Linked DNA regions of Coturnix japonica. The protein of the gene in region 1 purifies or fractionates together with the protein of each later gene. This does not show direct contact. Links are inferred from orthologs where the notes say so. Each region holds a gene or a part of one and is shown on either strand. Other genes may lie near its edges. The genes, in order: JADE1, ING4 and MEAF6.

Region 1 (3,107 bases):
TTCATCACTAACATCCTGTTTTAGTAGTGATGCCAATTCTCTGCTTACTCAGGGAAGATGCAAATAAAGGAGAATCAAACTTGTCACGGAATGGGCCAGGGGGCCAAAAAATCCAGCTTTAAGTGTATGTAAACATGTTCATACAGCTCAGGAATAACGGGCTAGCTATTTGTTGGTCTGTAGCCATGTCTAAGAACTCTCCCCTCTCACACCAATAAATAAAGTGAAGTTGGTTTGTAGGCAGTGACCACTGACCACGGTGCCCCATTGCCCGGTCAGGATGCCAGGATGCTTCTCCTAATAATGTCCGTCCTTCTGCTGATAGTGCTGTTTGGGCTGAGCCTCTGCTGTCTGCACTTTTTTTCAGCTACTTCGCTTTCCGAGTCGCTCATTTCAGCATCAGGGACGTACCCATCATTCTCGCTGTCAGGCTTCGGCTTGCTTTTTGCCCTATCCTTCGGTGACACTCTGCCCACGCCTAGGTAGGGATAACCAGAGTTCTGGCGGCAGGTCTCCTCTGGGCTCTCACCTTGCTGTTGCCTCTCCCCCTTCTTTGGAATCCGGAATCCGCCCCAGTTTTTCACTGGGCTCGTGGGTGTCATAGGCACTTTAACTACTGTCTGATTGGAGTTTATTTTGACAAGACCCCCATTGCATTTAGGCACTATATCCCTCCGCGTGCCAGGTGCTGACCTACCACTGGAGTGGTTCACAGCCCTTTTGTTTTCTGATTGCCTCTGAGAGAGTTCTGTGGGTCTCAGTGGTTTGTGGTTATGCTTAGTTTTTTCTTTTAGTTCTGTCTTGATTACCTCGCATTGTGGAAGATTGTCTCTTCTTTTTCTGTGGTCTGGCATAACTATGCCATTCTTCTGCTGTGCTGATACAATCCGTGTTTCTGCAAAGCTCTTGTCAAAATTTAAAAGGCTTCCTGGAGTTGCACCGTCTCCCCTTTGGCTGGGCTGCCTCAGCGTTGCCTTGCTACTGTTCCCAGAGCTATTACTTACTCTGTCTCTTCTGTGTGATTTTTTCAGAGAGTGTGTTAGAGATGTGCCCATCTGTTTCCTGAAGAACGCTGAATGCCATTTCAAATCCTCAATTTTAGGGGCATTGGGACCCAAAGATGGACTATTGAACAACACTGCGTTTTCCATTGCAGAGAATGAAGAAGGCACACCTAAAGGTAAAAACAAATTTAGGTTGAAGTCAAGCAATCCATGTCTGGGCAAATACCGCTTTAAAGTAGTACATATTTTAACACCACTACTGCCAGACAACTTTTTTAAGTGTAAATGGGCATTTGGTTGCATATCCAGCGCCTTTACATCATGACTACATGGCTACATCCTGGTTTCACAGCACACTGCTGATGTTGCTGAATTCCCCGTAGCCACGCTACGGCCAATTAAACCTGTAGCAAATACAATTCCTAGTGCTGTTACGTGCATTAAGACATAGGAACTCCTCAGATGGGGTAAGATATGCCATCAGCAGGTCAATATGATTGATTCTGTCTAAAATTAATTCGTTGCTGGATGCTTTGAGGATAATCTGAGTTAATACAGTAACTCTGAAGTTCTTCTCCTGGGAGTAAAGACTACTTTCAGTAAGATTAGGCAGAAAAAGTATGATGTTTCAAAACTACCCTACAATGCAAAGAAAAACACTAATGCAGTGGCATTAATAAAACATAAACCTAGCAGATACCATATGGCACCTGAATGTAAGTCATGGTCTCTCTGTCAAAAGGTGTCATTAAAGAATCACAACTGACAGGACCTGAAGCACCAAGCCATTTGGTCCTCCAAGGATAATACAGGCTTACCTGTTTCTATAACAATGTGCCCTCCATTAGAGCTATGCAAATTTTTATGTTCTTCCAATCTGCTGATGCATGGTGGACTACATACAATTCTAATGAGAATAAATGAGGTCTTGCTTGTCCTTCAAAATCAGTTGTTAGACTCTACACTAAACTCTGCTCTGAAGTAGACTAGACTCCACTCTAAACATTTCAGTGTCTATGCCTGTGGTGTCACGTGAAAAAGACAATGCTGAAGCATACCTGAGACTTTTTCTTGTTCCAACTGTTTTGCGTAGATATTGAATATCTGTTCTTGAACTTTGCAAACAGATCTCTTGATTTTTTCCCTTCGAGTCACCATGTAAGTGAGATTACGTACCTAGAAGGCATCAAAAGTGGATGAGTCTCCAAAACACTTCTTAAAAGACAGTCTTTAATACCATTTAATTGACAGTTTATCAGATCTGGGAGGTCCACACTGCAGAAGTACACTTACATGGAGAGCTTACTCTAAAAACTGAGCTAACGCTGTATTAAGTATCAGAAGAATAAACGGCATCTTGGCATCCTTTAAGCAGAGACATCCCAGAGCCAGCAGGCCTTGAGTGGAACATTAATCAGGATGCTTTGAGAATGTTACCAACTTGGCAAGAAAACTCAAGAGTCCATGTATCTTTTGCTGAACCACCTTCACTATAATAGCAAAAGTCACATCCACAGGCCAAAAAGCAACGTCTCTCCTGAGTGTGCGTTCATTGACATATTGTACACAAGGCACCAAATCCACTTTTCAGACAGCAGTTTTCTGGTCACCCCAATGGGACAGCTGGGAAGCTTTGCCCGGATAGTCTTGTTCAGAGGACTCTGTGAGTAATCCCCCTGTCTGGAGTGGTAAGTGACTCTAAGGTGCAGAGCATGATAAGGAGACATTGCATGGGGCACAATTATGATAGGTAAAAGGTATTTTCTAAGCTTTGTGCATGACTGGGCAGTGAAGACCAGAGTGCACAAAAGCATGGTTGGTAAAAACATTCTTTCTAAATAACAGTAAGGGAACAGGACAGTCTGTAAGGTCCCCTCTTGCTCTCTACTAAGATACATCCTTATCTTATTAACAAGAAGATGTGTCACTGATGACTGAGAGAGGCAACAGCTGTGAAGGGAATGGAGAATTTAGTCCTATTGCATGTAGAAATTGAGCACAAAAGAACCCTGTAATACTGGCACCACTGTGACAGACAGTAGGACCAGAATGGCACATGAAGATGAAGAAGACAAAGGCAGCGAAGGAGAAAGTTCCTTCTTG
Region 2 (3,635 bases), on another chromosome or scaffold:
TTGAGAATCTGCCTTTTGAACTGCAGAGAAACTTCCAGCTTATGCGAGATCTGGATCAGAGAACAGAAGGTGAGGATTAGAGATGGTTTCTGTGATGGGAAAGGAATTGTGCAGCCTGGATGGCTTTTCTTCCTTTGCTTTCATCACTGGGACCTCGGGGAAAAGCAGGAAACCTGCAGTTTTCTTAACAGAAGGCACTATAGTGCCTATGTATGTACATGTATTTATGTGTTCAATGGTCAACTTGTTTCAGACCTCAAATCGGAGATTGATAAGTTGGCCACGGAGTATATCAGCAATGCACGGACTTTGTCGTCAGAGGAAAAACTGGGGCTTCTCAAGCAAATCCAGGAGGCCTACGGGAAATGCAAAGAATTTGGGGATGACAAGGTTCAGCTGGCTATGCAGACCTATGAGATGGTATGAAGGGAAGTGTCTAGTGATTGTTTCATGAAAGGCTGTGCTGAAGACCCTGATCTCTCTCTTTCAACCCTCACCCACTCTTGCTTTCCCTCTCTTAGAGCAAGCCCTGTACCCTGTCCTCTTTGCTGTCTTGGGCTCTGTTCTGTGGTAACTCCTGATCACTGTCTTTGCAGGTTGATAAGCACATCCGACGGCTGGACACAGATCTTGCTCGCTTTGAAGCAGACCTGAAGGAGAAGCAGATAGAATCGAGTGACTATGACAGTTCTTCCAGCAAGGGCAAGAAGAGTGAGTACCACCACTGGGCTGCAGATTGATACAGGAGGCAGCCAAGTGACTGTGGAAGTGGTGGGGATGAAGGCAGGCACTGAAGTGGTACAGACTGTTACGCTGGAATCTGAAGGACAGGTAAAAAGATGGTGACCAGGGCTCTTCTTGTGTGAGCGTATTCAAGGCCACTAGATAAAATTAAGCTGAAGTGCGTGGCCCAGAGTTCTGAAGTAGGAGTGCATTTTGGTGCTGAAGAGGTTGTTACTGTCGGGTGTCTATTTTGACAGGATGGGATATGCAATAACTTTTTCTCTTGTTGCCAGAGGGCCGAGCCCAAAAAGAGAAGAAAGCTGCACGTGCACGCTCTAAAGGGAAGAATTCTGATGAAGAGGCACCAAAGACTGCCCAAAAGAAATTAAAGCTTGTCCGCACGTAAGCATTTAAGACGCTTGGGGGAATGAGGAGCAGCACTACAAATCAGACTAAGAGAGACTTAGCCAGGCTTCCCTATGAAGAGTTTAATCCCCACCCAGACCAGATGTTGTATATTTCTCCCTGGAAAGAAAGGAGGGAGACCTTTTAGTTTTTTTCAAGGGATTGTGGTGTGAAGGGGAAGACAGATCACTCTAGTGGATGTGGATGTATGTACTTAAAAAGGAGGAGTGGCAGTCTCTGGCAAGCAAGGGCATTGTAATGGGAGATATGATGCTAGTTGATTTACTGACCTGATTTATTTCTCTTTCCTGTAGTAGCACAGAATATGGGATGCCTTCAGTCACATTTGGAAATGTGCACCCTTCAGATGTATTGGATATGCCTGTGGACCCCAATGAGCCTACTTACTGCCTCTGCCACCAGGTCTCCTATGGGGAGATGATTGGCTGCGACAACCCAGATGTAAGAGCCTGTAGTTGATGGATGTGGGGGAGAAGGGAATGGAGAGTCTTGTGCTGCTTGGGTGGGGCCTGATATAGAGGCAGTGACAGTAGCAGGGCTCAGCTGGGAAGAGCAGTGGACTGGCCGGTTAAGTGCAGTTTTCTTTGGGGTTTTCCCTAATACGACTGATATTTTCTTTGCCCTGTACTCAGCAAGGGAGAATTCTGCTTATGAACAACGTGTAGGTTGGGTGTGAGACTGTTTCCCAGCAGATCCCATTAGGGTTGCTACTAGTGATTTCAGAATTCGTGATTAAGCATTGGGAAGTTTCAGCAGACCATAAACAATGATTTCAAGAGAGAACTGCTTTTTAACTGAGTGCTCTCCACCTCAACAGTGCTCCATCGAATGGTTTCATTTTGCCTGTGTGGGTCTGACAACAAAACCAAGAGGAAAATGGTGAGTGAGTGATTAAAACAAACGTTCTGGAGGGCCCATTGGTCTCTGGAAAGAGGAGGTCGTGGGTGACAGAAAATAAGAGATAAATAAATAAAGGAGAAAATAAGACTTTTTCAGAAGGAAAATTTGAATTAAGACTTTGATATCGTGGAAAAGATCCTTTGAAACTGTGATTTCAGTGTTTGTATCAGATCATAAATGCTGGCTTTTTGCTTTCCTTTCTACCAGGTTCTGCCCTCGCTGTTCCCAGGAGAGGAAGAAGAAGTAAAATCCCATGAGCCTTGAATACTGCTGCAGGAGCTCTCTTCCCCCTGCCAGGGCCTCGTCCCAGCTCCCCCAGCCCTTGGGACCTTGGCTAGGGGGAGTCTTGCCCTGTTTGTGGTTTGGGCCATCCCTGGAATGGTGTGTACCCTTGCGGCAGTTCCAGTGTGTCCTGTATCCCTGGCTGCTTCCAAATCCTTAAGGGAGGCCCTCTCTGTGTACTATTCCAAACAGGTCTCTGAACCTCAAAGGGAGTGAATGAGGGCACCAGGGTAGCCACCAGATTCCCAGGGATTCAGGTAGCCCCTGATTTTCCTTGGCTTTCCTTCAGCCTCCTCAGAGTTCATTGCCTACTCTCTGCTGAGAGAACAAGGCTATGGGATGGGGGAAGGAAAGGAGGTAAGTCTTCAGCATTTTAGGTCTTCTATTTTCCTGGATCTTTTTCAGGAGAGAGGGAGTAACCAGGCCACTGCTTAATCTAGTAGCTTGGTTGAGAGACTGAAAACTTTAACGTACTCCCTATCTTTAATCATTCCACTACTTTGTCTGGCATTGAGCAGCCTCTTTTATTGGGGCAAGGAGGAAGAAGGAGAGTTTAGAGCTAGCTTTCTCTCTTACTCCTGGGGTAAACCTGCTGGCCTGGGAAGCACACTGTATGAAGGAAGAAGAATTTCTGGCCATGTGGTGAGAAACGGTTTGATTTAGCCTGTCTTCTGGCTCCAGAATTCTCCCTCCCTTTAGTACAGTGGGGCTTCTCCATTATGTTGATGATGGAAAGCTGAGGGATCCAAAATCCCACTTGTATACTATAGAATTAAATAAAATTCATTCAAACAAATGCTCAGTTTTGTCTTGCTGTCACCTCCAAAGTAAGTAATTGGTCTCTTTCTTAGATCTTTCTCAGCTCAGCTTTTCCACTGATGAATGCAGCACAGCTTTTTTCATGTAATAATACTGAACGTTCTGCCAAGGTCATCCTTTAAAATACATCCAATACACTCGGTCAAAGAATTTCTAAGCTTTCCAGTGTCTGTGGAAAACATCTGCCTCCTTAGTCCCATCCCCACAAATGACAAGATGCTTATTCTCATTTTTGTTGTTTTTTCATCTGTAATCTCTTAAATGAGTGAGGAAGAACAGAGATGACCAGCCCTCGCTATGGCTGTCGGGCAGTACAACTAAGAAAATAAGCCATCGGCACAAAGCTTTTGCATCCAAGAATGTGGACAAGTTTTTTTAGATATCCTGTTAACTTGTTCCCCAGTGAGTCACCTTCACCTTGTACCACTTTGCTGCCAGAAACTCCAGGTACTGTTAATAAAGTAGTGCTGTAATGTTGGCAAGTG
Region 3 (4,174 bases), on another chromosome or scaffold:
CAGCAGCATTCTTATGCTGTACTTCAGTCGTACAGATTGTTTCTCTGAAGTGGTTTAGAGACGTGCTCTGTTACTCCTGGCCTTCCTCCCAACTGCCTGAGGGCTAAAAACCACTTCTGAACTGTTGCTGGTTCCTTGCTCAGGAGGAACCCAAAAGGACATCCAATACTTTGGGATGTGTGCCTGAATAAGGCTGCTGTGGGGAGAAAACCCTGACCTTCCAATTAAAAATGCTAATGGCTGAAAATCTAACTAATAAGTCGTAATTAATTGGCTTTCAGGCACTACACCTACCTTGGTGTCTCCCAGACAGACCTTTTCCCAGCAGTCCCTGTGGGATCTATCACTGTATTATAAACCATTTGTATAGGAAGGCTCCTCAAAGAGGAATATCCATCCATACCCAAAGCCAATGAGCTCAATAAGAACCTGACATCCAGGGAAAGCAGCACTGGAATTCAATGAATCCCAATGTGAGCTGTCAGCCCACTGTGCTGCATCTTGCCTTGAAGGTGCGCCTTAAAGGGTTGAAGTGGTCACCTAAATTCAATCACAAAGAGCTCAGGAAATCTGTTTCATGTGAATTTCAGGCCAGTTTAATAACAAGAGCTTGTGGTCTGTGTGATAGAGCAACTTGTACGTGCTATAATCAAAGGACTCTGGGACACGATAACAGGAAAGCTTTGGAGTAGAAAATGTAGTAAAGATAGTGAGTGTCGGCAGCCCCCAGAACACTCTAAGCTGTTTTCCATCCTCCTCCTCCAAAGAAAGCACTGACATTCCTATCTCCCTTAGCTCAGTAGAAACCAAAGAACAACCACAGGAAGCCGGGGCTGTCATCTTCCTCTACTGCAGGGAAGACAGCTTTATTCTGCTTGAAAAGAGAAAAGAACCCACAAAGCCTGGTCAGAAACACCTGAGCTGTGAGTACCCTGTGCTGAATATGCCTGCTGAGCTGCCTCCCTCCCTGACACAAGGAGAGCAGCAGGAGCACAGGCAGCTTCAAAGCAAGTGATAGAACCAAACGACCTGACGAGTTACTAGCTCCCTTCACATCATCAGCAAGAGCCAACCGTTCCCATTGCACTACTAGAAGGCTGTCGGTGCCACTAACCTGTGCCTGTTTTTATTCTTCCTTTTTTTGTGGCTGCTGTGATGGCTTCCAGAAGTGGAAGAAGCTGCTTTTTGGGGTTTCACCCCTTGCACTGATCCATCCAACTCCTCAGCATCCTCCTGGCTGGGTTCGTTCTCCTGATTATGGAAGTCTGGAGATGTGTCGCTTTCAGTCCCACTGCCCGGCTCACCTGGAATGGGACGAGAAGCAGAAGAGCCCAATGATTATCACCTCACTGTTCACATCCCAGGGCTGCTCCTGCAAAGTATGGGGGGGAAAAAAGGGCTACAAGAACTACAGACACCCAAATTTCTGGTGCCAAGGACTGGAAATGCAGCCCTGCTGTCAGACCCAAAGCCATGGTGACAGCAGAAGGAAAGGTCTTAAAGCTGGATGCCCACAACAGGCTGCAGCCTCCAGTAGTGAAGCTCTTATCTCCTCCCATAGCCACGTGCAGCTGATGGAGAGACACAAGACATCTAAAGGCATCACTTCAATCCTGGTTTCTCCATCCAAAGTGGACAGCAGAGAGCCCAACAAAGCAGAGATGGGGCCGAGCTGTGGGGAGAAGCTCAATTCTTCCTAATTCTGCCAAGTGAAGAGGTGACTTACGCTTCTCAATGAGCTGATCCTGGACTCCAGCTAACGCACTGACAGCCTGGAAGGATGAAATGGGTGTTAATGACAACAGGGATGCACTCATGGCTTAACAGATACCCACAGCAGCTTGGTCCCATGGGGTTGGGGGCTGGGGGCAGCTCTTACCGCAGCAGAAGTGACTGAGGATTTGCTGAAGAGCCTCTCGGCCTCTTTAAACTTGCGGTTCCTGCGGTCGTTTTTGCTGTTGGAGTTCCTGCAAAGGAGAAAAGAGGATGGAGGCGGCCCATGGAAGGGGGGGGGGGGGTTGGATGGATGGGGAGGGGGGTTTGGGGGTCCCATGGAAGGAAGGGGGGCGGGTTGGGATGGATGGGAGAGAGGCGGGGCTGAGGGTCCATGGAAAGGGGGGGGCTGGGATGGATGGGAAGGCGGGGTTTGGGGTCATGGAAGGGGGGGTTCTGGGGGTCATGGAAGGGGAGGGGTTGGGATGATGGGGAGGGGGTTTTGGAGGGTCCATGGGAAGGGGAGGGGTTGGGAGAATGGGAAGGGGGTTTGGGGGTATGGAAGCCGGGGAGGGTTGGATGGATGGAGAGGGGGATTTGGGGGTCCATGGGAAGGGGGGGGTTGGAATGTATGGGAGGGGGGTTTGGGGGTCATGGAAAGGGGGGGTGGGGGGTTGGGATGGATGGGAGGGCGGGTTTGGGGTCCACACTCACTTCTGGTTGGTGAGATAACGGTCCCAGCCGCGGATGATGTTGCCGTACATCTGCGTGTCCTCCAGGTAACTCCCTTCGAAAGCATAAATCTGCCTTTCCAGGTTGGCCAGCGTCTCCTACCGGGCACACACAGCGCGATGCATAGAAGCGGGCCTGGCCTTACCTTAAGGCCACAACCACAACCACAAGCCTCACCGCCTTCCCACTTTATCCCCCCCGTCCCCATCGCTCCCTGCTCACCGCCAGCTCCTGTTTGCGTTTCACCAGCTCGGCCAGCTCCCTTCGGGTGTCCGGGATTTGCGGGGGTCCGCCGGACTTAGCGTGCAGGGCGGCCATGGCGGCTGCGGCCTGCGGGGAGCGGGCGGGGCTGCGGGGAATGGCCGCTAGGGGGCAGCACTGAACAGCGCTCCGCCCCCCTGCTCCGCCCCGCAGCCGCTATAGGGTCGGGCTTAATAGGGACATGGGAGGGGGGTGATGGGGAGCCCTAAAAGCATCCAGGATTTGGGTCTGTGCAATAAACAACAAGGCAAACCTCGAATATAAGGTTGAACCCTTCTGCTCACTCAGCAGCTCAAAAGCAGGGCTCAGTGCTTCCCTGTGCAGTGCATGGGGGGGAAATAGGGATATAGGAAAGAAACATTACAATTAAATAGAATTACAAATTCTTTATTTAAAAACCTTGAGATTGTGTATATATATAAAGGTGATCCTTCAAGCCAAGATCTATCCTGCTTTCTATATGAAAACCTATATCAACACCCCGTATTTACACCATCAATGCTCCAGTGTGTGTATACAGGTTGTGTGTGTGGCCATAGAACAAACAGGCAACAGTGTGTTAAGCATCAACATGGAAACCATAGGGAACAGACAGCCACAAAGAGGTGAGATGTGTTTGTTTCCAGTCATTGGGGTTTTTAATTTCCTCTTCCTAAAGCTTTTCCTGTGGGGGAGAATGTTAGAAAGCAACGAGAGCTTCAGTTCTTTTTATATATATATATATATATATAAAGAAAAACTTAAATAGTGCAAACCGGGTAATAAAAACATGCCACCACGTAACGAGTACAATTACAAACAAAAAACATTAAGTTACTCATGGAGCTGATAGAAACAAAGGGCTGAGGTTTAGGAGATACATGACAGTCAGCCATAGTTTGGGTGCTGCAATGTATAGCGTGCATTGATGTGGACCTCAGCCCTCCCAAACCACATCGTTGCAACCTAAAAGCCTCAGGTTGTGTTTCCTTTTCTTCTCACTTACCTTGGAATCGACAGGCAGCTCATTGTGGTCAAATGCCCATTGCTCACAGTGCAGAGCAACCACCCAGGACACATAAAACCTTTGCAATATCCCTCTTTTAGTAGCAAACCTGGTCATTCTCCCTTCTAGAACTCTAGAATTTGGCAAACTCTACAAAACAAGACATTACAAACAATGCATGGGGTTACATTTGAAACTAACACCTCAGTTCAGTAGCGTTTTCAAAGGCTTATGACAAAAAACAGTGGATAAAAATATTCTTAAATACACTTTGCTGTGTTCTACATCGTTTCTTTATCCAGCAGAAAACCATCTTTGAACATGTTTCCAGCATCAGATCATTCACATCCAGCTGCTCTTTTGCTTGTCAGGGGGGTGAAATAAGTCAGATTTCCCACTATACAGACCTACCAAAGCCAAATATTCAGTGGAGTCCCCCACAATAAACCATAAGAACCAGTCAGCAACAGAAGGACTTTAAGG

The links.
Region 2: the proteins of JADE1 (region 1) and ING4 purify together in Homo sapiens (affinity purification with mass spectrometry; 4 studies listed by BioGRID and IntAct, with this or other methods). This does not show direct contact. The link is inferred for Coturnix japonica from reciprocal best matches to the Homo sapiens genes JADE1 and ING4.
Region 3: the proteins of JADE1 (region 1) and MEAF6 purify together in Homo sapiens (affinity purification with mass spectrometry; 5 studies listed by BioGRID and IntAct, counting the BioPlex papers as one, with this or other methods). This does not show direct contact. The link is inferred for Coturnix japonica from reciprocal best matches to the Homo sapiens genes JADE1 and MEAF6.

Annotation. Positions count from the first base shown.
Region 1 is NC_029519.1:30,521,691-30,524,797, reverse strand, and holds part of JADE1 (protein Jade-1), read right to left. Parts: intron 2,181-3,107; coding exon 2,063-2,180; intron 1,181-2,062; exon of another isoform or gene 1,175-1,180; coding exon 276-1,174; 3' UTR 1-275.
Region 2 is NC_029516.1:69,399,056-69,402,690, reverse strand, and holds the end of ING4 (inhibitor of growth protein 4), read left to right. Parts: coding exon 1-69; intron 70-253; coding exon 254-420; intron 421-596; coding exon 597-711; intron 712-1,016; coding exon 1,017-1,125; intron 1,126-1,442; coding exon 1,443-1,590; intron 1,591-1,966; coding exon 1,967-2,028; intron 2,029-2,256; coding exon 2,257-2,296; 3' UTR 2,297-3,127; downstream 3,128-3,635.
Region 3 is NC_029538.1:3,342,649-3,346,822, reverse strand, and holds the start of MEAF6 (chromatin modification-related protein MEAF6), read right to left. Parts: upstream 2,814-4,174; 5' UTR 2,764-2,813; coding exon 2,668-2,763; intron 2,544-2,667; coding exon 2,428-2,543; intron 1,968-2,427; coding exon 1,880-1,967; intron 1,773-1,879; coding exon 1,727-1,772; intron 1,305-1,726; coding exon 1,115-1,304; intron 872-1,114; coding exon of another isoform or gene 847-871; exon of another isoform or gene 129-846; intron 1-128.